Linked DNA regions of Mytilus edulis. Each later gene encodes a partner of the first gene's protein in a complex. Links are inferred from orthologs where the notes say so. Each region holds a gene or a part of one and is shown in the gene's direction. Other genes may lie near its edges.

What was found.
Region 2: the proteins of kinase suppressor of Ras 2-like (region 1) and dual specificity mitogen-activated protein kinase kinase 1-like are in contact, whole or in part, in a cryo-EM structure (PDB 8BW9), measured with the Drosophila melanogaster proteins. The link is inferred for Mytilus edulis from reciprocal best matches to the Drosophila melanogaster genes ksr and Dsor1. Residues at the interface, in NP_001287177.1 of Drosophila melanogaster: Gln767, Tyr828, Asp830, Met831, Gly832, Leu833, Gly834, Val835, His837, Arg849, Ala850, Leu851, Gln852, Asp888, Gln889, Pro890, Ala891, Glu892, Ser893, Ile895, Trp896, Gln897, Gly899, Arg900; in NP_511098.1 of Drosophila melanogaster: Gly98, Gly99, Lys123, Asp236, Met238, Ala239, Asn240, Ser241, Phe242, Val243, Gly244, Thr245, Ser247, Met249, Arg253, Leu254, Gln255, Gly256, Ala310, Met311, Ala312, Ile313, Phe314, Leu317, Asp318, Val321.

The regions. Positions count from the first base shown.
Region 1 is NC_092349.1:83,178,971-83,196,034, forward strand, and holds the start of kinase suppressor of Ras 2-like, read left to right. Parts: upstream 1-10,780; 5' UTR 10,781-10,958; coding exon 10,959-11,123; intron 11,124-16,654; coding exon 16,655-16,792; intron 16,793-17,064. Other genes in the region: replication factor C subunit 5-like, read right to left, coding at 5,554-5,633, 5,955-6,091, 7,592-7,656, 10,690-10,733.
Region 2 is NC_092347.1:76,731,620-76,748,071, reverse strand, and holds the start of dual specificity mitogen-activated protein kinase kinase 1-like, read left to right. Parts: upstream 1-7,724; 5' UTR 7,725-7,905; coding exon 7,906-8,021; intron 8,022-12,265; coding exon 12,266-12,497; intron 12,498-13,197; coding exon 13,198-13,344; intron 13,345-13,731; coding exon 13,732-13,809; intron 13,810-14,549; coding exon 14,550-14,601; intron 14,602-15,424; coding exon 15,425-15,549; intron 15,550-16,452. UniProt on the Drosophila melanogaster protein: Required downstream of Raf in the sevenless (sev), torso (tor), and Drosophila EGF receptor homolog (DER) signal transduction pathways.

The DNA.
Region 1 (17,064 bases):
ATAGAAACCTTACATGGGGAGAAACATGTTTTAAGGTACTAGGTATAAGCTTTGATGTTAATCTTGATAGAATTGTAAAAATTAATTATGATGAAAAAATTGTACAAATTAAATGTGTAATAAGACAATGGTCAAAACGAAATCTTACTGTTATTGGTAGAATTACTGTAGTTAAGACATTGATATTGCCTATTTTAAATCATTTGTTTATATCCTTACCAAATCCAAGTGATATTTTAAAAATGTTATTCAACTTATGTACAATTTTATATGGAGTTCACCAATTGATAGAATTAAGAGAGATGTTTTACAAAATGATATTGAAGATGGTGGACTCAAAATGATAAATCTTAGTGCATTTATTTTAGCACTGAAGTGTACATGGATAAGGAGATTATTTAAAACAGACAACAAATGGCAGAATGTTTTTTTGTCAAATGTTCATGTAGAACTTGAAAAATTTTATGGTTGTGGAAGTGTTTATATCCAAAAATTACAGCAACATATCAAAAATAAATTTTGGCAAGATGTTCTGAAAGCATGGCAACTTCTTAGAGAAAAAGATGAATATGACAGTTGGTAATGCTTTCTTGCTAGTCCAATCTGGCTTAACAATAATATAAAGGTAGCAAATAAACCTATTTTTTATAAAGATTGGTTTGAAAATGGTATAAGATTTATAAATGATATTGTAAATGAAGATGGGACCTTTTTCTCTCATCAAAAAATAGAAGAAATGTATCAGATAAATGTGAATTTCATGAGATATAATAGTATTATATCTGCTATACATCAAGCATCAAAATCATTTGTGGGAAAAAATCACAAATTAGAACTACCTTTAATTCCATCTGCTATTAAAAGACTTGTTAAAAGTTCAAAAGGATCTAAAGATATGTATATTGTTTTGAATAAAAATGGAAGTGTTCCCACTAGTCAGTTAAGATGGACTGAAATTTTTGGCTTTGATCAAAATAATTGGAAAAAAATTTATAAACTGCCATTTGTTGTCACAAATAATACTAAGTTACAGTGGCTACAGTTTAGATTCAATCATCGAATCTTAGCTACAAACAAATTTCTTCATAAAATTAAGATTTATGATAATCCAAATTGTAAATTTTGTAATAGAGAAATTGAAACATTAGAACATTTATTTTGGGAATGTGAACATACACAATTATTATTAGAACAGATTGAAAATTGGTTTCTAACCAATGGAATTAGTGTACTTTTTACAAAAGAAGTTTTTTTGTTTGGTAACACTGCAAAAATATCAAAAGGCAATGCAGAAAATACTCTTTTTCTTACCATAAAGCAATATATTTATAATTCCAGATGTTTTAAAAAAAAACTGACAATAAACTCAGTAAAAGAAAAGATAAAATATGTGTATGCAATGGACAAAAATATTGCTATGAAAAACAAATGTGAACATCAGTTTCTCATAAAATGGAATGCTTTTGATATATTACTTAGCATGCTTAGTTAAGTACAATAATGTATATACATGTTATAAATGAAAATGCTGTATTTACTATACTAAAATAGAATTCAATTTCTAGATGAATTATATTGAAAACTCACCACACTATTCTCTCTCACTCTCTTTCTCTTTCTACCTCTCTCTCTCCGGTGTTCAAACTGCTTTACTCTTTATCTAATATTTGTATATTTAAAAAAAAAAAAAAAAAATTACTTCCTAATAGAAAGATGTATTGATTAGATAATATCTATAGATTTATATATTATATATTGCTGTTATATTTGTGTATATTATGTTGTAAATTGGAAGTTAAAAATAATAAAAAAAAAAAAAAAAAAAAGAAGTGGCTTCACCTTTCTGGTTACTATTCATGTGTTGTGTATTAATGTATCGCAACACTTTATAGTTATTGGACAGGTTAAACTCAGACGACGAATCATCCAAACAGCACCAGATCTTTTGTGATTCCAGCTGATTTCAGATCACTAGCAATACATGATAATAGAAAGTTTGAAAGTTCCAGTTCGTGCAACTGATTTGATTAAATGATTAACAAATATTGAAATTTTAAAATACAGAAAAAAGATACAAGTTTAATAATGATTGTAATAAAGAAAATGTAAGTTTTGTAATGAAATGAAAGGCTCAAGTACTAGAAGATCCTGACATGATGTACTGACTCATTGGAAGATGTATACAGCAAGTCCAGAGATACTGACAATATCCAGTACGTACAGATCATAGACACTGTGCACTAGTATCAATTATAGATTATTTTTAAATATTGCATTGTGGTACACGTTTTATTGTATACAGGCAATTGCGGGAAACAAATCTCCTTAATTTATACATTGGATGCCAATGGGGTTTCTCATAGACACAAAACATTAATAAAGGTACAGTCACCAATCCGTTTGTAGAGTGTTTGTCCTGGATGACTTAGTTCATCAGAAATTCCCAAGGTTGATGGTCATTGGGCAAATTCATTTGATTGATAAAATGCCATACAAGATGAGCAGCATTTTTTTTAAAATTTTGTCCAGTTGATTTCTGAAAGCCTTGGAAACTACTAAACTTGATATGATTTCCGCTGGCAATTGCATTAAGCTTATTTAAAAAAAAAAGTTCAATGAACATTCGAAACATGAGCATATCAGATTTGAAAATTATAGTCCTGATGTCATCATATATAAATGTATTGTCTCGAGACCACAATAGTCAATAACATGTATACATCATGTCTTACATAATGGTAATCAAATTCAGAAAAATAACATTAAAATTGGCTATTCAGAAAAATAACATTAAAATTGGCTAATTATTGGAAACTTACCGGTAGTACATTGACATAGTTTTATAAATATCAAATTGTTGACATCAGCATTCACATGGTCAACTAGCACTTTACAATTCAGACTCAGTTTGTTGGTCAAGTATACATTTCACACTCTGACCTATGATGTCACATTCTCAATATGCATTAAACTGGCCACTGGACATGAACAAAGACTAAAAATATAATCTACAGGCATTCATCAGTAGCTTTTTTTTTTATGTTTACTTGATTGTTTTCATATGCATTCAACACACATCAAAACCTTAGGAAATGTAGTGTGTGATATATTGGTGGATTAATACTAAAATCCAATTGATTAGAAAGCAGCATTTAAATTCGTGTCATAATGAAAAACGGTACATGTCTGCAAGGTTGTGATGCCAGAATCCCTATATTTTGGGAAGCCAGCATCCGGATATTTTGGTATGTCAGCATCCAGATATATTGAGATGCCAGCATCCCGATATTTTGAGATGCCAGCATCCCGATATTTTGGGATGCCCGCATCCAGATATTTTGGGATGCCAGCATCAGATATATTGGGATGCCAGCATCCAGATATATTGGAATGCCAGCATCCAGATATTTTGGGATGCCAGCATCCAGATATTTTGGGATGCCAGCATCCGAATATTTTGGGATGCCAGCATCCAGATATATTAAGATGCCAGCATCCCGATATTTTGGGATGCCAGCATCCGGATATATTGGGATGCCAGCATCCGGATATTTTGGGATGCCAGCATCCAAAAGTATTGGGATGCCAGCATCCGGATATTTTGGGATGCCAGCATCCAGATATGTTGGGATGTCAGTTTCCGGATATGTTGGGATGCCAGAATCTATAAATAATTGGAAGCCAGCATCCAAACGTTGAGGTATTCAATATGAAATTAAAAGAATTACATCAGCATCTATCAAAGGTGAAGATGCAATTTTAATCATTTTCTTCATTATCCGCAGACACATTTTTGAAATATGCTATGTACAGAAATAAGAAGTGCATTTTAGGCCAACTAAAATTAATTAGTAGATTTTCATCCAAATTTTTAAAAAATAATGGGCGGGTGGGAGGATTTTATTTTTTAAATTTTATTTCATATGAAACCCTTTTGTGACGAGTTATTTATATATGCAAGTGTAATGATTAGCTTATATCATGTATACTCAAGTATGAGGAATCTTACATAATTTTTCAAATCCATAAATAAATTATACTATCTAATTGCGGCTTTAAAAACTAAACAACGAAAACGTGTGAGAAATGCTCTCTTCAGTTGGACTACCTTCACAAAATGTATTTGGGTTTCTAAACGATGGTTTGTATTCCCTTAAAATGAAGCAAATGCAATGGTATGCAATACATTTATTATCTATTATGAGTACATAATAAAATGAAAACTCGAATAGTGTTGAAATAATAGGGTTGGTACTTATACAAGCTGAAATTATAATTATCATGTAAAACATGAACTTAATAAAAAAAAAAAGTATTGTTTAATGACTCTTTTGTGTGTATTGGGACATTTGCTGTTTGTCAACATAAAAATAAAATGCGTATGTTTGTCGACTTTTTAAATTCAAAATACGGTCATAAATCTAACAAGTTCGTGCTTGTGTTTCAATATCTTTAATCCAGTCATGTTTTCTGTATCAATGGTTTCCACGATTCTTGTGCTTTGGGTATCATTCACAGTTTGAATTTCCTGACACAAAGCCATTGCATAAATAAAAAAAATCCAGTTTTCTATAAATCTCAGAAATTTGTGACATACCCCAATTTGCGGTCTTGGAAACAGAGTGTTTCTCGTAACACGAATATTTTTACGTCATTCTCGTAATCAATATTTACTCTCGGAAGATGATGTTGTCATCATGAGAGCAGCAGAATATGTCGACTTAATCATTTTGGTTAGATTTACTCGAGGTACAAAACCGAAATTTGAAACAGGAAGCTTCGAATGAAACGAAATTTAAATGGTTACCGGTAACGGAAATGAACAAAATCCGGAAATTGTAAATTTTATAAAATAAAAAAATTCGGGGCGGGCCAATTTCATAGGGGCGGGCGGGGATGAAAATCTATCAATTAATTTTAATTGGCCTTATACAAAACCATTTCACAACTACAAAAGTTGTTAATATAATCGAGAGAGCATCCATAATCTTTAAGACCCAATAAAATTCATTATGTAGCATCTACTATTCATAGAAATAAATGAATCAGTATGATTTTTGGTAAAATGAGCATATGTTGATACTTAAACAAATGCAATATAGTAGAAATATTCTGAATATGGAACATGGCCGTAACATTTTCTCTGGACATTGAAAAATTTAGTAGAATACAACATAATTTTACCTTAAAAATTCAAAAATTGTCAAAAAATGCTCTTTAAGCATATGAGAATTACAAATTTTAGTTGAGAACACATTCATGGGTATATGACACACCATTACCCAATGATGCAACTGCATACTAAGTTTGGTTATCCAAGTTTTACAGTACATAAGTTATGCACTGGACACAAACTGGACTGGGTTTTACTATCAAAGTGCTCAAAGTAACGGTCAGATAGATCAGACTATGGTATATGACACTTTCGATTTTGTCATTTGTTAAGGGACTTCTCTATTTGAATTTTATTTGGAGTTTTTTATTTTTGTTATTTCACTTTTTACATGCTTCTTTGAGTTTCAATTATCAATATGATTCTAAAATGATACTTACTTGAATATGGTTCTTGTACTTGCAAAACTAAGTATTTGTCCTCTCACTATTCCTATCCCTCTGTCATCTGAGGCATTCAACTGTTGAGATAAATTAGCAATATTACAAGTAACATACTAGATTTCTCTTCAAAATAGAAATGAGACACAAGAAGGTACAAAAATGGAAAATTAAACAAAAGGATGGAAAAACAGTCAGAGATTCAATATCTCCCAAATAATGTAAAAATGAAAATATCTAACTTGCAACTAAGACTTTGACCTTAGATGTAGTGACCTTAAAATCAATAGGTATCTTTCTTTCATAAAAGCTAGTGGCCTCCAAGAAAAGGCTGAGTGTGCCAAAAAATCCATTTACACAAAGCATCTTGAAAACAACCTGTATGGTGGATGGAAACAAACCTCGAGCACCATAGAATTAAATTCTTTAGGTGAGTATATCTGTTTAGCTACAGCCAATATAGTACTAGTCTTCCCTGTTCCTGGTGGTCCATAGAACAACAGATGTGGTAATCGTTCTTCCTTCACAAATTTACCAACTGGAAAAAAACAAAAAAAAACATTCAGTTCAGAGGTTGTCGTTTGTTGTAAGAAGTTCATAAGTGTTTCACCGTTTTAAAAAGATTAAAGACTTGTTTGTTTTCCAATTTGAATGGTTTTCACTAGTCATTTTTTTCAATTAATATTGTTATTGCGAACCATGTAAAATATGTTATTTCTATCTATCTAGCAGATAAATTTTTTACTCAGGTAAATTAATCAATGAGTGATAGATTTCTCTTAGAAAAAATTTAAAGGTCCAAGTGAATAAACTACACAGAGAACAATACCTGTTGTATTTGTTCAATGGGGCAAATGAACTGCCAAAAGTTTAAATGGACAGTTAACTATCAGATGAATCTATGGAAAGGTATCATTGGTTTGCAATAATACACTTATGGTTAGTATGGTTTTAAATTTGAAAATAAGAGTTGAGGAAAAATGAATTTCATCCACTATATTAAGTGATTCCCAGCTGAAAACAAACAATAATACAGTAAATTTGAGAGTAATACTCTCAAATTTGTATATCTGTCTACATATATATCTCTATGAAACTAGATTTGTTTGAACAGCATGAACGGCTCCAATTGATCTGTAACTCATCATGGTAGACTCACATACTAACAAGAATGTGTCCATAGTACACAGATGCCCCACTTGCACTATCATTTTACATGTTCAGTGGACCGTGAAATTGGGGTCAATACTTTAATTTGGCATTAAAATTAGAAAGATCATATCATGGGGAACATGTATACTAAGTTTCAAGTTGTTTTGACTTCAACTTCATCAAAAACTACCTTGACCAAAAACTTTAACCTGAAGCGGGACGAACGATCGGACGCACAGACCAGAAAACATAATGCCCCTCTACTATTGTAGGTGGGGCATAAAAATCAGCTCAATAAGTGAAGGTGTTTAGAAAACAAATCTGAAACTGTTGAAAGCTAGTGCATCAGACTATATATAGCTACTAACACAAAGGTTCCTGGTTCGATCCCCACTTCAGGGACAGAATTTTCATTTGTCGCTTGACACCATTTGCGAGTATGGTCTTGAGGAAACAATACAAGTCTGTCAGAAAGGGAATGATAAATGGCTGACCAGTTTTAAGTGAAAGCCATATCTCTTGCAAGTAAAAGACACCCTTTTAGATTTCGAAAAAGAGCAGGCTAATGCCACTACAAGGCAGCACTGGCACCTGCAAAGTGGAAAGGGATTAATATAAGTTGCAATAACTAGTTTCTCAATCCACTATAAATAAATATGTTTAAACTACGGTAAACTGTTTGTTTCAGAATGACAGATAAGTCAGGGCAAATAAATATTTCAGACTGGAAAGTTATAGTCTATCACTATTGACCTATTCCTTGAATGCCTTCTAATATTAGAGCAGAGCACTCATAATATAGTGTGCAACTACATAAAGATTGATTGAATGAATATTTTTTATTTGCGAAAGCATAAATAATATGCTATTGAATGTTACATCTTACTTGTTGATATTATATCTGTATGTGATATCAGGTCATCTAACTGTTTTGGTCTATATTTTTCAACCCTGAAAAAATAAATAATTATGATATGAATTAGATGAATGTATATAACTTATAAGAGTTAAAATAAGTAATGCGGGCTATTTAACCAACGCTAATGTTGAACACAATTTTCCCCCATAAACTTTTCACCAAATGAATGAATGACAAATGTTGTAACTGCCAACTTACATGGATCAATCATCAGACCTGCCAACTGGTAAGGCCAAAATAAATAAACAGTGTTTCCTATTTCACCCCGATTTTTTTTTTTATGTAGGGTAGGTAGGTTAAACATTTTATTTTATGAAAACTTTTTATTTTTTTCTATCGATGATAGCAGAAACAGATTCCAAATGAAATCATTTGATGTGCCTGCATGTTTCTTTGATATTTAGAATAGTACTTACATCTACAGCTTTTTAAAAATTTTTGTTTTTGTTCTGTGTAAGAAATATGAAAATAAACTTTAAATGCAAATTTTATGCATTTCATGGGTAGTAATAGGAATATGTTCTTGCCGATTACTTATCTTAAAGCAAAATTGGCAGTGAAAAATCTGGCATGGTATTATGTTTGGCTTTGTTGAACCTAACAATGTCAATGACACACAGGGTATACATGTGGGAACAGATTCCTAGCGCCTTTTTTATAGTAGTAAAAACACATCAAATCGATGCTTAGCAGCAGCTGATTATGATTTTTCAAGGGGTAATATTCTTGCACCCTCTTTGTGTTATACATATAGATGTGCTTTGATGTTTGACAGAATTTATTCTTGAAGAGTGGGGATCTGAAAATATTAAAATTCCAGATTTGAGAAGAGTGAGAATGCAAGGTATTTGCCTTATTAAAGCTATGGAAAAAAAATTGTAGATATTAATAGGACATGGAATTTTTTTCCTTCTCTAGTATAAACTGTTGTTGGAACAGCCAGAGAAATATTAAAGAATAAAAGTAGACATGGTGCTGGGGCAGATTCATTTATAAATAAATATGAATCATACACCATGTCTGCCTATAAGGCCAGGATTTTTTAATTTGTTGGTTTACGGATCCGCCGACCTGATTTTGCCTATTTCCAGAATAAAAATAAAATTGACTTTTCATGCTTTTTCATTCCCGCCGACCCTAACAAATGCATTATCCCTGAAAAATAAATAAATTAGCCTTTTTTTATAAAATGAAATGCATTAATCACTAACAGAATTGATAACACTTTCTGTTGTGAAAAAATGAAACTTCCAGTTTACGTTTCTAAAAATAGATAAATCAATTATTAATGACCTTGACATGTCGTTTGGACAAATATTTTTGTGGAACGAAACCCGTGTTTAAAACAAATTACACAATAAGTTCGTTTCTCTTATTTGTCAACAGTCCGTAAGATGCATTTTCTCATAGAAATAGACTTGTCCAAATGTGGACAGGTGGAAGTTCAGGACATCAAGTTAAAGTACTGAATATTAACAGATCATTTAAAATTTTCTTGTTTCATAGATAATAAAAAAATTTCGTCCATTTGGATAAAAACGGGAATGCATGACAACAGATTAACCCGATATTCTCGTTTTTTCCAGTGGACGAGTCTATTACGTTTTTGACGCGTGTGTTGAAAATTATTTTCTTACCACGCTTTTACATTTATTTCTTTATCAGTTTTCGTTCTTGAAGATCATTATTCACCAAGTTTTCTGGAATTGATTAAGAGCTATGTGAATTTGTCTTCCTTTATGAAATTTAATTACGTCTTTGTCCGTGCACCCCCTTTTTTACGGGAAATTATTAGGCAATGTCATGCAATTTTTATTACAACTGAGCAATAATATTTCATTAAACTAAAATTTAAGAAATGATGACAAAATAGGATAACAAACATATTATTAGAAAGGTGAAATATATATTTATTTTGCATATCAGTTTTCTGTCTTGAAAGGTATTTTTTTTATTTTTTTCCCGACCGACCGACCCGACTTTGTCATGGAGAAAATCCGTAAACCAACAAATTAAAAAACCGTGGCCTAAGGTAAAGCTTTCTATTTCTCATTACACATTGTCTGCCCCCTTGCCCTCATTAACTCAAACTGTCAAATGCTGAAAAGCATTAACAGCCGTTTATGTTGCGTCCTGAAAACAATTTTGTAAGAGCAGTTTTTACAACAAAAGCTGGATTGATTTAAGCAGTAAATTGATCTCATTTTACTCTTAACTTATCTGTCAATTAACCAACAGAATTAGATACAGTCTGTCCATCCTGAGACAGACCGAAAAATTCGGATTTTTAATAAAAAAAAAAACTTTTGTAATAAAATGTTTAGGGTTATAATTAGATATCACAGGTTATTCGTACAGAAGGTAGAAGATCCTAGTTACCGGAAATCAACGTTGATTGGTCGAAATATTTCAAAATGTCAAACTTGCCGAGAATGAAAGTAGAATGTACTGAATGTTGAAAAAATTGGATTATCTAGGACTCAGAAAGGACGTTGATCATAGTTAGGCACACGAAAATGTAGAAAAAACATTTATCTGGAAGTGTATACAGGTACGGATGTCTGACAAGTAAAAAATAAGCGAAAAATGAGCCCAAACAAATTGTCCACGATCTTTGAATGGGCACTGCTTTCTGTCTCTATATTGCACAAAAAAAGAAAATAGCAATATTAATAAAAAGCAAATGTCAATCAGTAAATATATGCATTATAGGGACAGAATAATTCGGTCTACATTAAATATTAATCATTGAATCAATCATGCATGTAATATTTGCCACTGGCACTGAATATTTAACACCCATCTTCAATCCATCCTTTAGCAGGTACTGTTAGGGCGGGGTTATTCAGACTGATGTTCAGTGTAAAACGTCCGTCAGTGTCAGGATGTGTTAGTGGATACCCTACAATACATGTATAAACTATAGATCAAGATCTACCTCCCCCTTTTTTTCTTCTTTTTACAATGTGTTGTTTTATTAAGTTTACTGTCAAACAATTTCATGATTTAAAACATGTTGGAAGATAAATGGCTGAAGTTGAAATAACGCAAATATCTTATTATACCATGGTAAATTAGGATTTGTAGCTTTTTCTTCTTTTGTTGTCATTTCTCTTTCCCGGCAAATTTTATTACGTCTCGTCTAAGTCACGTGACGTCAATTTGCGAGAGTGCTTGCTTCGCAATATGGCGGAAATCATTTTGGACTGTCAAAAAATAACAAATGACGACTATTTTGTTACTTGTTGATCATTTTACATGTAAAAAAATAATTTGTTGCTAGGGAAGTTCAAAAGCATGCACCGTAATTTAGTGTATAGGTAACTTTAGGAAGATGGTAGACTCATCAGAGGCCGAAAATGGAGAGATCAAAAGGGCCATTTCAATGTGCACGACAGCGCAAGATATGATCGACTTTACGGCGATAAAATTGAAAGGATTACGTGAACAATGCGATCCTTCAGAAGAAATTACACAAAAAGAAATCAGGGATACGGAGGTATTCAAATAATTGTTGAAACGCCCCTGATTAGCTTTTGTTTACGTCTCTAAAATGTAAACATTTAACAGCTGACTAATGCCGGAAGGCATTTAACCCCCCGTCTTCATTACTTTGTTAATTGACACTACCTTGTTACTTGTTCCATAATCTAATTAGGTGATTAACCAATTAACAGGATGATTATTAATTACCGGTAGTCAGTGAAAATAATTGATTCAACAAATCAGACTTTGTTTTGTAAAATTTACAACATTTTAAATTTGGTAAACATGTATTGAAAATGTTTATTGATGAATATATGATCATACCTTTTTGTATATAATGTACTTAAAGATAATCAGCCAGTGTCAAAACCTCTAGCCATAACTACACTGACACTACCATGATAAGTTAAAGTTTAATAGATTTGTGAAAATAAATAAAAAAAATGTCTCCACTTTTGGCCTTTATAGTTATACATGTTATATCGTTCATATGAATTTTGAAGGGTTTTATGTTACATGAACAAGGTATAATTTTCTTTGGCACAAACTGTGTTTCATGGAAATTATCCAAGTAATATTTGTTATATTTGTAGTTATAAGTTTTTATTTTTAAAAGTTTTTTGAATAAAAAAAATTAAATGCAAGTTGTAAACTTCTATGTCATTTGTCCTCTGGTGGAAAATTGTCTCATTGACAATCGTATGACATCTAATATTCATACATGTAGTCTTAGCCTACTAAAACATATATTTTATGTTTATAGTCATGATAGTTATTCTCCAATTTTTTCTTGTTTTCTTATAAGTTATAAAATAGTAATATCTGAAAGTCATGAAAATGGTTTACAAAATTTAGCTTTAAATGAAATGAATCATTTGTATGTGTACATTGTACATGTGCTGAGATAGTGATATATATGTTTGTCTAAGATTGTAATCAAAAGTTTAATATCAAAGTTTTTACATCTAACATGTCTTTTTAGATTTTAAACTTTTGACAATTGGACCTGAATAAGAAAAAAAAAAGGATAAAATAATGTACAAATGATGTATTGTTTGGATGTAAAAACTATAATTATGAAGGCAGTGATCTCCCCAGACATTTCATTTAGCATCCTGGTAGGCAGGGAAATTTGAAATATCATCTTGTTTCTAAAAATAATAGCATTGCTCACATCCATAACATAATCTACATGATCAATAAGAAAATTAATTCAGATAGCATCACATTACTGTCGAAAACACTGGAAGGGTATGTATGAAAAGCTACATGAATTTGAAATGGTCATGTATTAGACTTCACAAGTGTTTTTTATGCCCCAACTGCAATAGTCATGATAGTGGACGGGCATTATGTTTTCTGGTCTGTGGTTTGTTCCTTAGTCTGTTCGTCTGTTCGTCCGTCTGTCCCTCTTCAAGTTAAAGTTTTTGGTGAAGGAAGTTTTTGATGAAGTTGAAGTTCGATCAACTTGAAACTAATTACAAATGTTCCCTATGATATGATCTTTCTAATTTTAATGCCAAATTAGAGTTTTGACCCCAATTTCACGGTTCACTGAACATAGAAAATGATAGTCTGAGTGGGTCTTCAGTGTACTGTGGACACATTCTTGTTTTTTTGTCTGTTTTATACACAGAAGTACAATGTTTTTGTTTTTATTGACAAATCACGTTGACACATTTTTAAGATGAAAGTTTCATTATTCAGCTTACACTTACAATAAGAACATATTTAATGAACTTCCTTTTCTTAACTTTCATGACGTTCATCAGGAAGACATCACTTTTCAAATAAATTTACTTCTAAAATTTAGAAGTGGAAACATAGTAATTAAAAGTAACCTTTAATTTGTAATAATGGTCTTGATACCTTAAAATGTATCTGATATTAAAAAAAAAAAAACATGAAAAAAATATGGAAAAGTGAAATGAACAAGCAAGACATTTGTACAGTCTGAAGTGAAATGGTTGCTCCCTTACATTCTTGTTAAATGGCTCCAATAATTTGAGATGATGCCATTCATGTTCTTGTTGAATATCAAAAGTTAATCCACCTGAATATGTGTGATAAGGACATTAAATGAGCAACAATCTATGAATATTTGAACTTTATATCACATCTGCACATGATGAGAAAAGAAAAGTACATGTAGTTTTGCAAACAGGAGAATCAATAACTAATATCCTAGAAGTTGTCAGCTATTAAGTGCTTGATGACTTTCAATAAACCTACAACTCTTGGGTCAATTTGTAGATCAGCATATAAGAACACTTGTCTATTGTTGACCTTAGTGTTGTTTGACCTTGTTATTTGGTTGCAAGTGATTTAAGTGGGTCATACATGTTCTTGTTATACATGTTGATAAGGAACAAAGGTCACTTCTAAAAATTGGTAGAGCCAAATGGAAATTTAGGGAATGCATTATTTTTGACTTTTTGACGGGGAAAATTAACCTGCCTGTATCATTGTATCCCAAACTACATGTATAAGTATAGTAAAGGTTGTTTTCTCAACTAGGATTTTTTTTTCTCTCCTAGACATTATACTATAGGCATTTAGTGAAATAACTGAAAGATCATTCAACTCTGTATATCCTTCAACCATAGATGATGCTCAAAATCTGTACCCTTAAAGATAGAGCTCTGTAAAAGGCCTTGAAATGACAAATAAAAACAATTTTAATGAGAAAACTAATGGCCTGATTTATTAAGAAAATAGTAAACATAAACATCAACAAATATGATGTACATGTACATGTATAGCAAGTTAGCAACAAGACCTTTTGCAATATTTCATAATAAAATTGAGAAAGGAAATGGTGAATATGTCAAAGCGACAACCACCCGACCATAGAGCAAACAACAGCCGAAGGCAACCAATGGGTCTTCAATGTAGCGAGAATTCCCGCACCCGTAGGTGTCCTTCAGCTGGCCCCTAAAATATGCATAATAGTACAGTGATAATGGACGTCATACTAAACTCCGAATTATACACAAGAAACTAAAATTTAAAATCATACAAGACTAACAAAGGCCAGAGGCTCCTGACTTGGGACAGGCGCAAAATTGCGGCGGGGTTAAACATGTTTATGAGATCTCAACCCTCCCCCTATACCTCTAGCCAATGTAGAAAAGTAAAAGAATAACAATACGCACATTAAAATTCAGTTCAAGAGAAGTCCGAGTCTGATGTCAAAAGATGTAACAAAAGAAAATAAATAAAATGACAATAATACATAAATAACAACAGACTACTAGCAGTTAACTGACATGCCAGCTCCAGACCTCAATTAAACTGATTGAAAGATTATGTCTTCATCATATGAATATCAGGTACAATCCCTCCCGTTAGGGGTTTAGTATCATACTATCATAAAATATATGAGAAGAACATAACCCGTGTCATGCCAACAACTGTTTTTTTAGAAATAAATGTGTTTAGTTCCGATGCAAAGACCCTATCAGTGAATCAATGTTAAATCCAAAATATGCAATCTTTAATGACCTGACAACAGTATCGTAACTATATCCCCTTTTAATAAGTCTATTTAAAGGTTTTGTTAGTTTCTGAGGAGAATACTGACATTTTTGTGCTTTATAAAGAATATTTCCATAAAATTTTGGATGTGAAATACCTGAACGTATAAGATGTCTGCATGTTGAGTTATATTTACGAATTATTTCCTTATACCGGTGATAAAATTTAGTAAATGTTTTGACCAGTTTGTGATATCGAAAACCCTGGTGTAATAATTTTTCAGTAATACATAAATTTCTCTCGCTAAAATCTAATACATTGTTACATACACGAGCGAATCGTACAAGTTGAGATATATAAACACCATAAGATGGTGACAAGGGAACGTCACCATCTAAAAATGGATAATTAACAATAGGAAATGAAAAATCATCTCTTTTATCATAAATTTTTGTATTAAGCTTCCCGTTTATGATATAGATATCAAGATCGAGGAAAGGGCAGTGGTCATTGTTATCATTAGCTTTATTTAAAGTAAGTTAAGTTGCATATAGCACCCGCACTAAAATATATACACTTTAAAAGGTGTTATCATAGAGACTTTAAAAGGTGTTATCATAGAGACTTTAAAAGGTGTTATCATAGAGACTTTAAAAGGTGTTATCATAGAGATGGGGTGGCATCTGATGGAATGCTATATATAAAACCTTAACCATCATAACAATTTGTTTTAGTTTAGTAGGAACAATGAGAGAGTGCAACTGTCTTGTTAAGACATAAACACCTGTCATCAGACCATACCTAACAGCCATGTAATTGATTAACATGTCATTAATATATAATAATTACATATCATTACTTTACCTTTGATGTTTAACAACCTACAACTACATTGTACAAATCATTTATTTACAATGTACTAATATATTTTGAACATGTATTGCTATGACCAAATTGTTCTTTGTTTGTTTGTCAATAAACATGATCAAATAAAGAATTATGATAAGCAAATGTATATATGTATTGCTATAAATATATAATAATATATTCTTTGGAAATCCATGTAAGAATTTTGAAACTTCACTTTATTATCTGTATCTATCCCTGTGAAGATAGATGTGCATGGCATTTAAATGTTGGCTTAAATGTTTAAATGTCGTTGACTTGGCTTCCTTATACAAGAGGGAAGATAAAAAAATGACATTTAACCTAAATGATAATGAATATATATAATTAGCTGAATTACTGTATTACATCCTCATGACTCTTTTTCTGTTTAGCATAAACATGATAAGCAATTAAAGTCAAGATATTACATGATTATACTTTTCATTTTATGATGGCAAACAATTATATATAAAAACATGTAAAGCCTCTTTGGGATACTTGTGGGAGAGGCACACAAATGCAAAACAAAGCATAAAAAGTAGTTGTATAAGAACTTACATCCAATAAATACCTTGACCAGTGTCATAACAGTTCTTAACATTTTATTTGGCAATATATATATCCTGGATTTTACTGATAATTATAGATTATTGTTGGTTATCTCAACAAGATTGATTTTCTCGCTTGAGCCGGTCACGTTGAGATGACCAATGATAATCTGTTTATCGCTATTTAACTGAGGACGGCATGTGGCTCCTTAGTTTCTAGCGATAATTTTCCATCTCAAGCGAGTAGCATGATATGAAAAATTATCACAAAATAAGATCAAAGGAAAAATGCACAAAATAGCAATAATAAATATTTTTACAAAATATCAGCCTGTATAATTAGTCAGATGAATCATTTCAAATGTTTGACTGTTCTTTGATCATGTTGATGAATACTGTGACCATTCATCCACAGGAGCCTAACAATTATTTTTATAAATGGAGATAAAGCATTCAACAATGAGGCAGCAACTAAGCAACACAAAAAAAATCAAAATAAGTCTAGCGGTCTTCTTGCCTTCAACAAAAGAAAAGTGCTCATACAGTAAGAACTGTCTAGTTGTTTTTATTTGATTATTGTTTTACTAAAGTTTTAAACATGTGGTTAATTTTTCTAATGTTTTATTTTCAGACAAAATTGATCAAGTTATTTAGTAAGCAGCTGGTAGCAAAAACACAACTGAAAGCCGAAGACAACAAGAAACATCTGTCCGAATATCCTAAAACTGAACAATGGCTGACCATAGTGGGATTAAAGAGTTACATCTCCGTAAGTTATGTCTTTATTACGTAGTTAATCAATTAAAAACCTTTTCCTGCTTAGGACTGTTCCATAAAACATACATGGAACCTAGGCAAGGCATTGCCAAAACTCAACAGACATCTATGTGTTGGTGTCATCTATGTTTTTGGAATGTTACATACATACATGTCTCTTTTTTTTAAAGAAAGTGTTAGTTTAATTAATAATTATTATGTTAGGCATTTGGAACATATCCTAAGATTAAAACGCAGATTAAAACGCTATGATTATGACCTATA
Region 2 (16,452 bases), on another chromosome or scaffold:
GACCCATACCCTTAAATACAAGTTAGTATCTGGAAACTAGATATATGCTCGTTTTAGCCCTTTTTGGCTCCTAATTCCTGTATGAATGGGACAATAACCCCCAAACTCAATCCCAGCCTTCCTTTGTGATATGGAACCTTGTGGTACAATGTCAGATAGATTCATACTCTTACATACAAGTTATTGTCCAGAAACGACAAAAATACAAAAATGCTTGTTTTTGACCCCTTTTTGGTCCCGAATTCCTAAACTGTTGGAACCATAACCCTCAAAATGAATCCAAACCTTTTACTTGTGGTATCAAACATTGTGGAACAATTTCAGAGCAATTGAAATACTCATAGGTAAGTTATTATCCTGAAAGTAGAAAAGTGTTTGTTTTGGCCCCTCATTACTAAACGGGTGGACCATCACCCCCAAAATCAACCCAACCTTCTTTTTGTGGTACATGTATTGAACCTTCTGATTAAATTTCAAAGAGATCCATTCATGTAAACTCAAGTTATTGACCGGAGTGTTTTACGTATACCTCTCTTGATTCAAATCAATTCCTTATTTTCACTAAGACACAAAATATGTGTTACATGAGGACAAATTACAAATCAAATACAATATATATGACAGAATAGACGGGTAACTGATAACAAAAGTGTACATGCATCTAACTAAATGAAAGTAGATAGTTTCTTGATAAATAGTATGGAAAGCATGTTGATGATCAGAATTATATGCAGTGGTCCCAGCATTATATATGCAGTTGCCACACCATTATAGGGCCTGTACTGTAACGGGACCGGCAGTCTACCAAAAAATTCACCACTTCTTAGATTTTTGTAACATTTCAATAAGCGAATTATCATTATTCACATGGGAGGGTGGGGCTGTTCATTTTGAATTCAAATATATAAAATTTATTTGATCCCCCCATAATATTTCACTATTTTTATTTGACCCCCCCCCCCAACAAAAACATTTAAAAAAATGTGATCCCCCCTCTATTAAACATGTCAAAATTGTAACATGCAAAATATTTGTTATATCATAGATATCATGAGGCAAACATTAAATATTCTCAGTGGATTGAGTCCAAAAACAATATTCCAGGGAACATTGCCTTGAAATAGGGCTCTTCCAGTAATTTTAAGAGGTAAGCTATGGCAAGCCGTTCTCGTCAAAACTATGTTTAAACCATTTTTCGAAAAATTTACACACTGAGAATTACAACAAAGCACACTGAGATTTAAAAACTTCAAAACGCACACTGAGAATTGAAAATTACACACTGAGAATTGAAAATTACACACTGAGAATTAAAAATTACACACTGAGATTTCATAAAGACGCACCGAGATTACAAAAATGAAAAACGCACACTGAGAATTGAAAATTACACACTGAGAATTGAAAATTACACACTGAGAATTGAAAATTACACACTGAGATTTCAAAAAGACACACTGAGAATAAGTAAACTGAAAACACACACTGAGAATTTGAAATTACACACTGAGAATTTAAAATTACACACTGAGATTTGTGCGCACTTTTTATGCGCACCTATCTAATTAGCATACTTAATCTGTATCTATTACAAGCTTAAAACAACAAGGGGACAGAACTCGTTAGTCCTTCGATTTGATTCCAAATTATTAATAAAAAAAACTTTAGAAATACAAGAAAAAGAAAAATGCCCACTTACTCTTATTACAAAATATAACCAAATGGTGAAAAACTTTATTAAAATCATAAGAAAACATTGGAACAATCTGAAAAAGAATGCAGTGAAATTTTTACTCTAGTGTCTATTAAATATAGCATATAAACGTAACAAAAATATAAAAGATTAACTAGCGAAATCAGGGAAACAGTTGGAAGACTTTTGAAAAGGGACACATGTTTAATTACTGGTAGTAATGATATGAATTATAGGCAACAAACTTATGAATATGAGCGATGTTAAGTCTTGAAATTTATTACGAATGTTGGTTGAAGGAATCGCATTTCATTATAATGACAAGAGTTCTTGAGATCAAGATATTAATCTGTTGAATTATTCATCTCATGAATATTCATTAGTAATTTGCATATTAATCTCAGTGTGTATTTTTGAAATCTCAGTGTGTAATTATCAATTCTCAGTGTGTGTTTTTCTATTTATTTCATCTCAGTGTGTCTTTTTAAAATCTCAGTGTGTAATTTTGAAATCTCAGTGTGTGTTTTTTATTTTTTTAAATCTCAGTGTGTAATTTCGATTTCTCAGTGTGTTATTTTTGGTTTTTAAATCTCAGTGTGTATTTTTTTCGAAAAAAAAGGGTTTAAACATAGTTTTGACGAGAACGGCTTGCCATAGTAAGCAGCAAAGCTTTTTCTGACTCTTTTTTTTCTAATTTCCTATATTGAGCTATTGAAGAAAAAGTAAACTTTTTGATACAGCAACAACACATTAGTTACTAAGTGGGATATCTATTACCCGCAGTATATGTTCCTCTCTTGGACGCTGCTTGAAACTCAAGTTTTACAGTAGGCCTTATTGAAACCTCCATGAGGTTTATATGGATTGGTTATTCGTTCCTACTCATTTATTGACACATTTCATTCATACATTTATGTGTGATAGTAACCCCAAAATTTTGAATTGTTAGCCTAAAAAATACAGATTTTGAGGGAATGAGAGTTATAAATTAACTCAAAGGGATCTTAGAATAAATAAAAACGGTACGATGATTAGTGATGTTCAAACTTCTCATTTCTTTGTGCAAAAACTATTGATCCTCCCATTTTGAATTTACAATAAAATTTGAACCCCCCTATTCCACATACAGAAACAAAACTTGATCCTCCCTGTATTTTGACCAGCCCCCCTCCCAGATAAATAATGATAAGTCCCTAAATAAGCACCTGAAATATATGGTTATAAATCAGACTGTTAGAATAGGTGTGCCGATATAATAGGGGTTTTTGTTAACGCTTTATCCTGCTTTGTGACTCTTCACAAACTTTTTTTACTTAACATGAACCACCACAATTGGCGGATCCAGAGGGGGGTTCCGGGAGGTGGAACACCCCTTTTTTGGACGATCAATGCATTTAAATGAGGACATGTGTTTGGAACCCCCCTCTCCCCCCTTTATCCTGGGTTTGGACCCCTTTCAAAATGGCTGGATCCGCCCCTGACCACCATCACTGATCATCATCTTCATCAACAAACTAGAGCCTCTCAATAGCCTGTGTCGCTCACCTTGGTCTATGTGCATATTAACAATGGACACAGATAAATTCATGACAAAATGGTGTTTTGGTGATGGTAATGTGCTTGTAGATCTTTCTTTAATGAACATTATTGTTGCTACAATTATCTCTATCTATAATGAACTTGGCCCATTAATTACAGTGGAAAATATTTCCTAAAAAATTACAAAAAATAACAAAAATTTATGAAAATTGTTAACAATTGACTATAAAGGGCAATAACTCCTTAAGGGGGTCAACTGATAATTTTGGTCATGTTGACTTATTTGTAGATCTTACTTTGCTGAACGTTGTTGCTGTTTACAGTTTATCTCTTTCTATAATAATATTCAAGATAATAACCAAAATCTGCAAAATTTCCTTCAAATTACTTATTTCGGGGCAGCAACCCAACAACCGGTTGTCCGATTTATTTGAAAGTTTCAGGACAGATAAATTTTCACTTGATGAAAAATTTTACCCCATGTCAGATTTGCTCTAAATGCTTTCGTGTCAGAGATATATTAAGCCAAAATCTACATTTCATCCCTATGTTCTATTTATAGCCATGGCAGCCATCTTGGTTGGTTGGACGGGTCAGGCCACACATTTTTTTAAACTAGATACCCCAAAGACGATTGTGGCCAAGTTTGGATTAATTTGGCCCAGTAGTTTCAGAGGAGAAGATTTTTGTAAAAGATGACTAAGATTTACGAAAAATGGTTAAAAATTGAATATAAAGGGCAATAACTCCTAAAGAGGTCAACTGACCATTTCGGTCATGTTGACTTATTTGTAAATCTTACTTTGCTAAACATTATTGCTGTTTACAGTTTATCTCTATCTATAATAATATTCAAGATAATAGCTCAAAAACGGTATAATTTCCTTAAAATTGCCAATTCAAGGGCAGCAACCCAACAACGGGTTGTCCGATTCGTCTGAACATTTCACTGCAGATAGATCTTGACCTGATAAGCTGGTTGGCCAGGTCACGCCACACATTTTTTAAACGAGATACCCCAATGATGATTGTGGCCAAGTTTGTTTTGATTTGGCCCAGTAGTTTCAGTGGAGCAGATTTTTGTAAAAACTAACGACGACAGCGAACGACGCTGGACGCAAAGTGATGAGAAAAGCTCACTTGGCCCTGTGGGCCAGGTCAGCTAAAAACGTATGATGTTGGGACCACTACATATCAGAGGCGGATTTAGGGGGGGGGGGGGCTCCTTTTTGGGAAAAAATTTGGTTGCTTATTTAGGGAATCACTGAAGCGTGACTGGAGCGGGCCCCCTCTTAAGTCAGTCAGTGGGCCCCCACTTATGAAAATTTCTGGATCTGCCACTGCATATAACAGGGGTGGAACCAGCATTTTGGAAAGGGGGCAAAGTGTTTAAATTCGCCGAGCGGAGCGAGTCAAAAAATTTTGGGGACCTTTTTTTGCCGCTACAAAAACATGAAATAAGTGTAATATGCACCTTTGAAACGATTCCTGGCGTGGTGCATGTATATTTTGTAGTTCCCGTAAGGTGTAACGGGGTTGGACATTTTCGATGCTGTATTCTCCAGGCTATTAATTGTCTGTCATAAAATGATAGCACGGATTTCAAGCTATTTACTGATAACTTTGATGTGGGAATTTTCAGTAAAAAAAGACATTGAAAATTCTCGCTGGTTTGCTGTATGTTAAGTTATCATAACCTCACAGATTTTTTGTTGTAAACAAGATACAAGTCGGGCTGTTCGATAAAATTTCCAATACAGCGGACACGAGCTAAAAAAGACGAACAAGCAATATTTATTCAAATGTTTGGTTAGATATGTTTCGCCCAAGAAAATTAAGGGATGCGAGGGATCCCAAACCAACCAAAAGCTACCAATGCGTCTGAAATCATCGGGCAACGAATATATGAATGACGGTCGAAAAATGTAGACATTAAGGCTACTTCCAGCTGTAGGTTGTAGTCTGGTCTTGAAAAAAGTATTCAATATATCAGTTCGGCGAAACAGACATTCCGGTCAGACATGCAAACCCCGGCCAAAATAAAAAATACGCCCGTTTTTATCTATCATGTTCATTTAATGCTTAATAATTCTGTTGGATATTCGTTTCTAATAGCATAAAAATGATAAGATTATTGTTTTCAATCCAGATACGGCCAGAATTTCATCTCTCAAATATCTCAGACTGCCTCCTCAAATCAAATGGTTCGTACCTTAGAATTTAAATCTATCTAGAGCTTATACTGACTGGGGATCATTATTCAGCTGTTATTTTAAAATAGGATGCCGATCATGGGGCGTTACGAGTTAAACATGTTTTCGTAGGTAAATAATATTGCTGAGGAACTTTTTTTTTTCATGAGAGTGTACTAATTTAGAGTATTACTGTTTTGTGGACTAATGAAATAGAAGTCACTATGTTCTTGCTCAATCCTGTGTCGCCTTGAAGGTTTTAAGATTGTCATGCTCAGCCTAAGCAATTTGTGACAGTAATTTAAATTTCAAAATGACTGAGTGACGTTTTTTCGACGCACAGGGTTGCGTTCAATATCGTAGCGGCTACCGTAGTGCTACGTAGATTTTGACTATTGAACGCGTAGCTATAGACTAGTTGTTACATAGATATTGATAGCAGCTACATAGCTGCTACGATATTGAACTCAACCCTGGTCAACTCCACCAAAGTGAATCACATGACTTTCAGTTAGTATACGGGCGTTTTTCAATAAAAGCGTTCCTTTCAGACCTAAAAAAAATGGAAAATCAACTAGTCTAAAATTTATTTTCAAGAGTTATTTTGAATACCTCTATTATAGACATAGGCGGATCCAGGGGGGGGCTGGGGGGCCCGGGCCCCCCCTTTCGTGGGAAAAATTTGGTTGATTATATAGGGAATCATTGAAGCATAACTGGAGCGGGCCCCCTCTTAGGTCAGTAAGCGCCCCCCCCCCCCCCCCCCTTAGGAAAAGTTCTGGATCCGCCACTGATAGAACTGTTTGTAAACAAAAAGTGCAATCTTAAATACTCTTTAAAATGATATTATTTTCATAATTTGTGTACTGTTTCGTAGGGGACTTTTGTTCTCTACGAAACTGCTTCTAAACACACATATTTTTGCAATTTTAAATGTTTCCTATAGACATTCCAGTTTGTTTACGTTATATACTAGAACAATCTCATTTTTTTCTGAATTGGAGAACCATTTTTTATTGATAAAGATTAGACAGTACTTCACATATGAAGGTACAACTCATGTTACGCAGTGGACATTTTGATGCGTTTCGTAGTTGACAAAACCGTTTCGTAGTGGACAAAAAGTTTCGTAGTTGACATAAACCCTATTCTATGTTAATAAAAACATAATAAAAATTACATGAAACTAACCTTTGTTATTTGTTTTGCACGAATATAATTGAAAAAAGAGTAAAAAAAGACTGCATGGTAGTGATAGTGTCCACTACGAAACGTTTTTCTCCCATTGGCAAACTTGTTTCGTAGGGTATTTTGTAGGGGACGTATTCACATGTTTTATTTTTTTCTCACAACCCCAATATTGCAATAGTAACAAGACTGACTGTATTCATCAAAGCGTTATTAAGCTATACACTGATATTTTTTTCATAATTTTAAAACCAGTTACTGAAGGAGATTTGACCCGTTTCGTAGTGGACATTTACAAAAATACGGTATCACTCTGGTCCATTTGATGTGCTCGATTTTTCTTACCAACAGTTTAATTGCCGTTATAAAAGCATCACTTCTTTTGTAATACCCTAATGTTTATATCTCTTGCAAACAAAAAATTACATTGATTTTATAAAACTGTTTATAAGCAAGTTTTAATGACTTCGTTTCGTAGTGGACATTGTCACGGTTAGGGACACACCTTCTAAAATAAAAAATCCTATGTCAAAAGCTGTTTATTAAAATATGTTGGCTCTAAACATACTTTTGAATTATTAAAGAACTTATATTAAGTAAAATTAATATTTATTTCTTCATTTTTTTACGATATTTGAGAGTATGAATGTTGAACAGGCGGTCTAGGGACATGCCATTTTGGTTGTTTTGGACCATTCAGGAATCAATATCTTATCAATCTCTCTAAAAAATAAACCGTTTCTTTGCTTAAAAATGTTATATCTAATTCAATGTACTGACTGCACAAAAAATTACTTGCAAAGATCAAACACATTTTTTTTAAAGTGGCTAGGACAAGAAAGTACGTTTTTATTGAAAAACGCCCATACAGTGATACACCAGCGAAAAATATCTTTATATTAAAGTAAAGAATTGTCACATAAAATAAATACACGGGAAATACCCTCTACGCCCCCTCTGGATCCGCCACTGCCTAAATATATGCCTTCGCATTATATATTCACTATTTAACGTTTTCATGCTGATATTTTAATTTTTCATTTTTTGTGGTAAAATTAATGATTCACTGGTGACGTTGTTTAAACGTGGATGTGACTGTAAAATACTAAAGCAGGTGCTCGTGCGTAACTTCCTGTCAAGAAATTATTATTGAATCGATCGAACTGACAGAACTGATATTCACGCATTTTAAATAGACATAATCAATGGGCAATATAAATGCATTTGATTTCTGAGCTCATTGACCATTTCAGCTTATTTAAACTGTAAACCATAATTGCAAACATTTAAAATATGCCAAACAAGAAAGGGCTTCGACTTCCGTCAACATCGGGCGATGGCATGCCACCAGTTGCCGTGCCGGCACCGACACCCCCTCCTCCGGTTGCAGTGCCAACCGTTGATGCTGAGTATGTTTAGTTACTTAACCTGTTACTCAAGAAATATTTTATTTTGTTACATAACTTCTTTTCATATAAATCTCAAAAGACCCTCCTGGGATCTAGTAGTTCATGTACAGTGATACATATCTTGTCAACATTCCACTCGAATCAAGGGGTGTTTGTCTGTGAGCTTATATGAACAGGCAGTGTCTGTATGTACCCGCATTGGGTACACGTAGCCAAATTGGACTTTGTAGGTTACATGTATCAGCAACCGATTTTATGTTAAGCCCAGACTGTCATATGATCATGACTGTCATGAGGAGAACTACTGCAGAATGAGATACTATATTCCTGGTTCTATTTTTACTTTTTGTTTCAGTATTAATAAACTTTATATCATATTCTTTTAATATTAAATCGACCTCATTGCACCCAATGCCTCTTACCTTAATTATATCCTACATTGCTCATATTATCAATTTATTATTTGTGTATTACTTATAATATTGTGTATTTCACTAATGTTTATATAATCATTGTATGATGTTTTTGTATCTTGCCCGACAAAGGCCCATGATTGGTTTAATAAAATAATGTCTAATATATATGATCAGGAATGGACAATGATGGAACGCAAAAGATGCACAAAAATTGTCAGTTATTTCCTGATTTTGTGAATTCAGTGAAGATAATTGCAAATAATATATCTTGATTTGTATTAAATGTAAATGCACTATAAAAGAATAAAATTATACTGAATGTTAAAATTTGAGGGAAAACAATGGTGAAAATTATTTCTTATAAAATTTGAAACAGAAACGAAAAATTTAAAATATCTTAAATGACTAAAAATTAATTTTGAGTGTATATATACACAATTTAATGTAATACGATAAAATTCAATATGTCTAAAACTAGACGCATTTGATAATTTATCCATTCAGGACTCTGGATTTATCATTTGCTAATTCTACTGTTCCACCTGAAATATTTCAGGTCTTCGTATATAGGTTTAACTGCTGAACTGTAGCTCTTAGGTCCTTATGTTATTTTTTTACTATTTGCAGACCTGAACTGTGGCTACAGTTCCGCAGCTAATATAGGTTAAAATGACCTTATTTTGTTTCTGTTTTTTTACTTGTTTGTAATTCCTTTTCAATTTGATTCTCATCTAAATAAATAAATATTCAAAAATTAACCAGGATCATTTCTACAAAAGTGTAATAGGGATGTAGTTAAATAAAATCGGCATTCATCTTTTCAATCATTATCGAAATTTTGTCATTTCAAATCTTAAAATCTGTGAGAAATAAATTTTTCACTTATTGTGATAATTTCTGGGGATATTTCACATTTTATTCCTGATCTAATGACATTAAATTATAAAACCAGAGGCAGGTATGCGTAGCCTACGAAGGCCAATTTGGCTACATGTACCCTCATGCTGGTACGTGCAGACAGTGCCATTTGAATAACCAGTGTTCTTGCAGAAGGTTGTGGTTCCACATGGGCTAGGTTTTTCTCTACCAATTAAAACTGACTTCCATGACACAGCCTACCGTGTAGATATACATGTATAATCTTCAAACGCCACAACAATGGGGGTAACACCAATGACACATGAAATTTTACTTTTTAATACATATTTGTGACTTTTAAACGTTGATTTATAAATAATATTACATTGTACACTGTAAGTATGTTATAACTTGAAAATAATTTATTAAAGCAGGTAAGTTAAAAAAAAGGACATTATGATTTCGGTGATAAATCCACATGACGACCAAGGAAATTAGAATCAGAATACTAAAAGACTGATTGCATATAAATGATCGCCCAATGTGTTCAATTTGGACTACCGAAGTGGACCCCTCATTTGTAAAAAAAAATAAAATCTCAGACTTGAAATGTATTTTATTTAACATGTTTATTTAAACAGACAACAAAAATCTGATTTTACAAAACAGTTCTTTACATGTTTTTGTACATGTTTTACATAATAAAAAATGGCACTTAAACTAAAAGGCATTAAGAGAAAATATTTCCATAAGGTCCAAAAAAACACAGGTATGTGGTTGTCCTGATAGGCCCTGTGTCTGAATAAGGGAATAGAATAACAATTGTTAACATGGTTAATTTGAATACAAAAGTATTTTCAAATTTATGAATCTATTTTCATGATTCAGATTGTACAAAATTGTATTGTAGCAGGAATTACACATCATTACACAAGGTATTTGCTTCTATTCATAATTTATACAATATTATTATTATGCACCAAATTTTTATACAACTGCAAAAATTGAAAATTTTTTGGTCGTATATTGGTATCACGCTGGTGTTGTTGTAGTCATCGTCGTCCGAATACTTTTGGTTTTCGGATTGATTTTGGAAGTTTTGGTCCCAACAGTTTAGGAATTAGGGACCAAAAGGGCCCAAATAAGCATTTTCTAGGTTTTCACGCTATAACTTTAGTTTAAGTTAATAGAAATCAATGATATTTTGACACAAAGTTTATGACCACAAAAGGAAGGTTGGTATTGATTTTGGGTGTTTTGGTTCCAACTGTTTAGGAATTAGGGGCCAAAAAAGGGCCAATTAAGCATTATTTTGGTTTTTGCACAATAACTTTAGTATAAGTAAATAGAAATCATTGAAATTTAAACACAAGATTTATCAACACAGAAGGAAGGTTGGGATTGATTTTGGGAGTTGAGATCCCAACAGTTTAGGAATTAGGGGCCAAAAAGGGGCCCAAATAAGCATTTTTTTAAACACAAGGTTTATGACAATAAAAGGAAGGTTGGGATTGATTTTGGGAGTTTTGGTCCCAACAGTTTAGGAATAAGGGGCCCAAAGGGTCCAAAATTAAACTTTGTTTGATTTCATCCAAAATTGAACAATTGGGGTTCTTTGATATTCCGAATCTAACTGTGTATGTAGATTCCTAATTATTGGTCCAGTTTTCAAATTGGTCTACATTAAGGTCCAAAGGGTCCAAAATTAAACTTAGTTTGATTTTAACAAAAATTGAATCCTTGGGGTTCTTTGATATGCTGAATCTAAAAATGTACTTAGAGTTTTTATTATTGGCCCAGCTTTCAAGTTGGTCCAAATTGTGGTCCAAAATTAAACTTCGTTTGATTTCATAAAAAATTGAATAATTGGGGTTCTTTGATATGCCAAATCTAACTGTGTATGTAGATTCTTAATTTTTGGTCCTGTTTTCAAGTTGGTCTACATTAAAGTCCAAAGGGTCCAAAATTAAACTAAGTTTGATTTTAACAAAAATTGAATTCTTGGGCTTCTTTGATATGCTGAATCTAAACATGCACTTAGATTTTTGATTATGGGCCCAGTTTTCAAGTTGGTCCAAATCAGGATCCAAAATTATTATATTAAGTATTGTGCAATAGCAAGAAATTTTTAATTGCACAGTATTCAGCAATAGCAAGAAATCTTCAATTGCACAGTATTGTGCAATAGCAAGAAATTTTCAATTGCACAGTATTTCGAAATAGCAAGAAATCTTCAATTGCACAGTATTGTGCAATAACAAGTATTTTCAATTGCACAGTATTGTGCAATAGCAAGAAATATCTAATTGCACAATATTGCACAATAGCAAGAAATTCAATTGGAGTTATCTTTCTTTGCACAGAATAGTAGTTGAATCAACTTAAATCATTGTTTTATTCAATATACAATGTATATTCACTTTTACTACCATATGATAAATTAAAACAATCTTTACCATTCAGTGATAACAAGCACTTTTTTTTACATTTTAATAATTAATGATGTATGTAAATGAGTAGTTATTGTTGCAAATTCCATTAGTAATTTGAATTGAGATCAGTTTTGGATTATTTGGAATAAGGGAAAGGGGGATGTGAAAAAAAATTGGGGGGGGGGGGCAATCTTTCTCATTTCAGATTTCATAAATAAAAAGAAAATTTCTTCAAACATTTTTTTGAGAGGATTAATATTCAACAGCATAGTGAATTGCTCAAAGGCAAAAAATGAATTTTAAGTTTATTAGACCACATTCATTCTGTGTCAGAAACCTATGCTATGTCAACTATTTAATAACAATCCAAATTTAGAGCTGAATCCAGCTTGAATGCTGTGTCCATACTTTCCCCAACTGTTCAGGGTTCAACCTCTGTGGTTGTATAAAGCTGTGCCCTGCGGAGCATCTGGTTCGTATCTTCTATTCAGTGATTTTTATCATCATGATTTGATATCATGTAAATGTTTTTTTAAAGAAAACCAACAAACACAGGTACAGCAAGTATGGAAGCACTTGCTTTAAAGCTTAAAGAACTTGATATAAACACACAGCAAAGAGAGAGATTAGAAATGTTTCTTACCCAGAAACAGCAAGTAGGGGAATTAACTCCTGATGACTTTGACAAACTTGGAGAATTAGGGGCTGGAAATGGAGGAGTAGTACTTAAAGTTAGACACATCCCATCAAGCTTAATAATGGCTAGAAAGGTAAGGATGTGTGTAAAAAACTATTGAAAGCTGATCATTATTACAAATTGTTGTTCAAAAGTACCATTTGACCCAGATTCTAAGGCATGGGTTAGATTCCAAGTTTTACAGCTGTTTGTCTGAACATAGTTGGTTCAATGATTATGGACTTCTAATTTTGGTTTTTAATCTGATAATGAACTATCAGTGCTATATATTTAGATTTAGGGGTTCTTAGCATCTAATTAAGTCTTTTCCTGACTAAAAAGGTCCAGATTAATACATTTCTGTACACTAATTGGGTCTTATTACATGTATTAGGTAAGAAATACCAGTATCACACAATATCCTGTCATGACTAGAATTATCAGAATGGTTAAACCTTTGAAATGTCAGATTTTAACATAAAAATATAGATAAATTCTTAAACATCTGATTATGGTTTGGTATGATCTGTTATTTCCTTCTGCTTTAAATTTCCAAGTGTTCTGACTAGGGAGAGATATGACTGCGCTTTTATGTTTTCTTAATCACAGTTCTAAAATGATTTTTTTTTAAATGTTTTGTAGGTATATGTACAGTGTATGTAACAAAATCTACCTAAAGGCTATATCCTATTACTGGTACATGTATGTACAAGTATTAAAATAATCTGAAACCAATAAAAATGCAGAAAAGGATATAGCAGTATTTAATGATATTGAATTATGTTTTCTTGTAGTTAATTCATCTAGAAATCAAGCCAGCAGTTAGAATACAAATAATTCGAGAGCTAAAAGTTTTACATGAGTGTAATTCACCATTTATTGTTGGTTTCTACGGTGCATTTTACAGTGATGGAGAAATCAGTATTTGTATGGAATATATGGTAAGTTACTGGGGTTATCTAGAGAGATTTCAAATTTCAGAAAGACATCAATGCACACAGTAATATTTAAGAGATACAGCTCAGTAATTTTGTTAATTATAAAAGAGTTGTTTTTTTATTTCATACTTACATGTATGCTTGTACAAAAATGTATTGAAGACATCTACTGTGGTGTATGATTAAACTTACACAATTAATTCTAAAATATTTGGATCAGCATGACTGATATTTAATTAATGCTTGATTGGTTATTTTAAGTTCTATATACGGATCCAAGAAGTAGCTTTTGTAGGGATACGTTTCATTTTGTATTATTTAATGCATGCAATGTATTTTTTACAAACTAGTTATCTATCATTTTAGCAATGAATTAATTCTATTTTTTAGGATGGTGGTTCATTAGATTTGATATTAAAGAAAGCTGGTAGAATACCAGAACCTATACTTGGAAAAGTAACAGTAGCTGTAAGATTTTATTATATATTGTGTCACTGAGTCTTTTGAGCTAAGAACATGAACACATAAGGATTACTTCCTTCTTCTTGCATCTTTGTCCATGTTATCTGTGTTGTCTTTGTTGTCCTCGTCACACTGTCTTAATCTGCAATGCCTTGAATACAGCTTGACAGAAAGCAAACCAACTTGCTTAGATTCTTCTGTGAAGTACATGACAGTTCTGCTCTGCTCTTGCTATATTTATAATTTTGATCAAAATTGCTCATACTAAGACAATGCCTTGTCCCTTTCTGCTTGTGTTATTTTTGAGATTGCAGGCAACACACCTACTGGTAGTCCGTGGATGACTCACAGATTTTCTATATTAAAAGGAATTTTCAGTTACCCTTGAAATAAAAGTGTTTGTATAGCTGTATATCATTTACAAAAATGTACATAGGTCCTGCAAATCATAAACATGACACTTGTTACATGCACAAAACATTATATTGGTTGAAATCTAAAAAACTTGGTTTTCTTCTTTTGCTTGATTCAGAAAGATAATCAAAACTTCATTGTAACATTGAACAAGGGCATAAAACATAAGTTTTCGAAAAAAGCCAACAAATTAAACAATGAGAAAGAAGAGATATTGAGACACTAGCCAAAATATTCAAATAAGTGAGCATTTGGTAAAATACTGAACAAAAAGATATATGAATCAGTTTGTTTCTAATCATTTATATATTTTTGCATTTCTTTGCTTTCAGGTTTTAAAAGGTCTAACATATCTTAGAGAAAAGCATCAAATTATGCATAGAGGTAAGTGATTTACATTTCTTTTTGAATGATAGATGAGGAATAGTTCAGTCTTTCTTGATAAGTAGCAACTATATATAAAAAAAGAAGATGTGGTATGATTGCCAATGAGACAACTCTCCACAAGAGACCAAATGACACAGAGATTAACAATTATAGGTCAACATACAGCCTTCAACAATGAGCAAAGCCTTTACCTCATAGTCAGCTATAAAAAGCCCTGTAATAACAATGTAAAACAATTCAAACGAAAAACTAATGACCTAATTCATGTACAAAAAAAAGGATGAAAAACAAATATATAACACAAAAACAAACGACAACCACTGAATTGTAGGCTCCCGACTTGGGACACTATGTTCATTTAAAGACAAGGGCATCATTGTATGTAGGCTATATCTCAGTATCAAACATGGTCCTGCGTTTATTATCTTAAATCATAACCCAAGGGCATTCATCCTCTTTCTAAGTAGAGCAAACACATGCATATATATGTTAATATAAATAATACTGGTATGATTGCCCATGAGATGACTTTCCACCAGAGACCAAATAAAGAAGAATTAACAACTGTAGGTCAATGAGCATTACCAATTCCACATCTAGTAAGTAAGCTGTAAAAGGCCCAAACATGTAAAACAATTAGAACAAGAATAATAACAGCCTCATTTTATGTACACAGCAATTAATGAAAAGCAAATATGATGTAAGGCAAAAATTGACAACTATTGAATGTGTTAGTCTGTAGGAAAAAACCTTGAATTAATTTTAGATATTGCTATGAATAGAGATCACTAGCTATATATCAGTTTGCTTTCTATTCCAGATGTTAAACCATCTAATATTCTAGTAAATGGAAGAGGTGAAATAAAGATTTGTGATTTTGGTGTGAGTGGACAGTTGATAGATTCCATGGCTAATTCGTTTGTAGGAACAAGATCTTATATGTCTGTAAGTGGTTATTCTTATGTCTAGTTCTTTGAGTTAATTGCATCAGAAGTAAGCTACTATTTTTCAAAAGAAGAATTAAACATGGGTTCCAAATATGAATGAAAACCTTTCAAATTTGAAAACAAGAAAGTTTCATAAATCTTGGATATCAATGAAAATTTTTTTTGTCTTTCTCAAGTACAATTTTTGACTTCTGTAGATATAAAAAAAAAGATACCTTGAAAAACATATTTTATAAACTACTGTTATAAACTTATTATATTTTTCAATATGTTCAACAAATAAGTAATAACTAAATCATCTGGCAAAATAATTTATCACTTTTGAGAAATATTGATATTTATAAATATTATTTCCTGTAGGGAAAAATGGAAAAATTACTTTAATAAAGACAGCAAGATTAACAACATAAAATAATTAAGATATGTAAATCTCTGTTGGGAAAAGTTTTTTAAAATATCTGATATAGTCATAGAATAATGTTATGTTTAACATCGACTAGCTTTTTAACATGGTCTACTTTTTTTTTTTATCATAGTCAATGCACATTATTCTTATAATTTAGCTGATGGTCAATTTTCAATTAAACCTGTATGATAATAATTTCAAAATATCCATTATTTGGATGCATTAATCTGAAAAAAAAAAATATCCATAGTTTAAAAGGCTTCATTAAACATTTTTATTTGTAGTAGACGACAAAAGTTAAATTTTACTTTCTTTCTGTAAATCACGTTGATGATGCAGACCATTGCTCTATGCTCTCACATGAATATTCTATTTATTGACTAGTTAAAATCATACTTTCTTCAGATTTAACAACTGCTGCGTTGGCCATCAAAAAATTGAAGCTTCTTTCTGAAATAAATAATTTTACTCATTTCCAAAATTAAAAAAAATAAT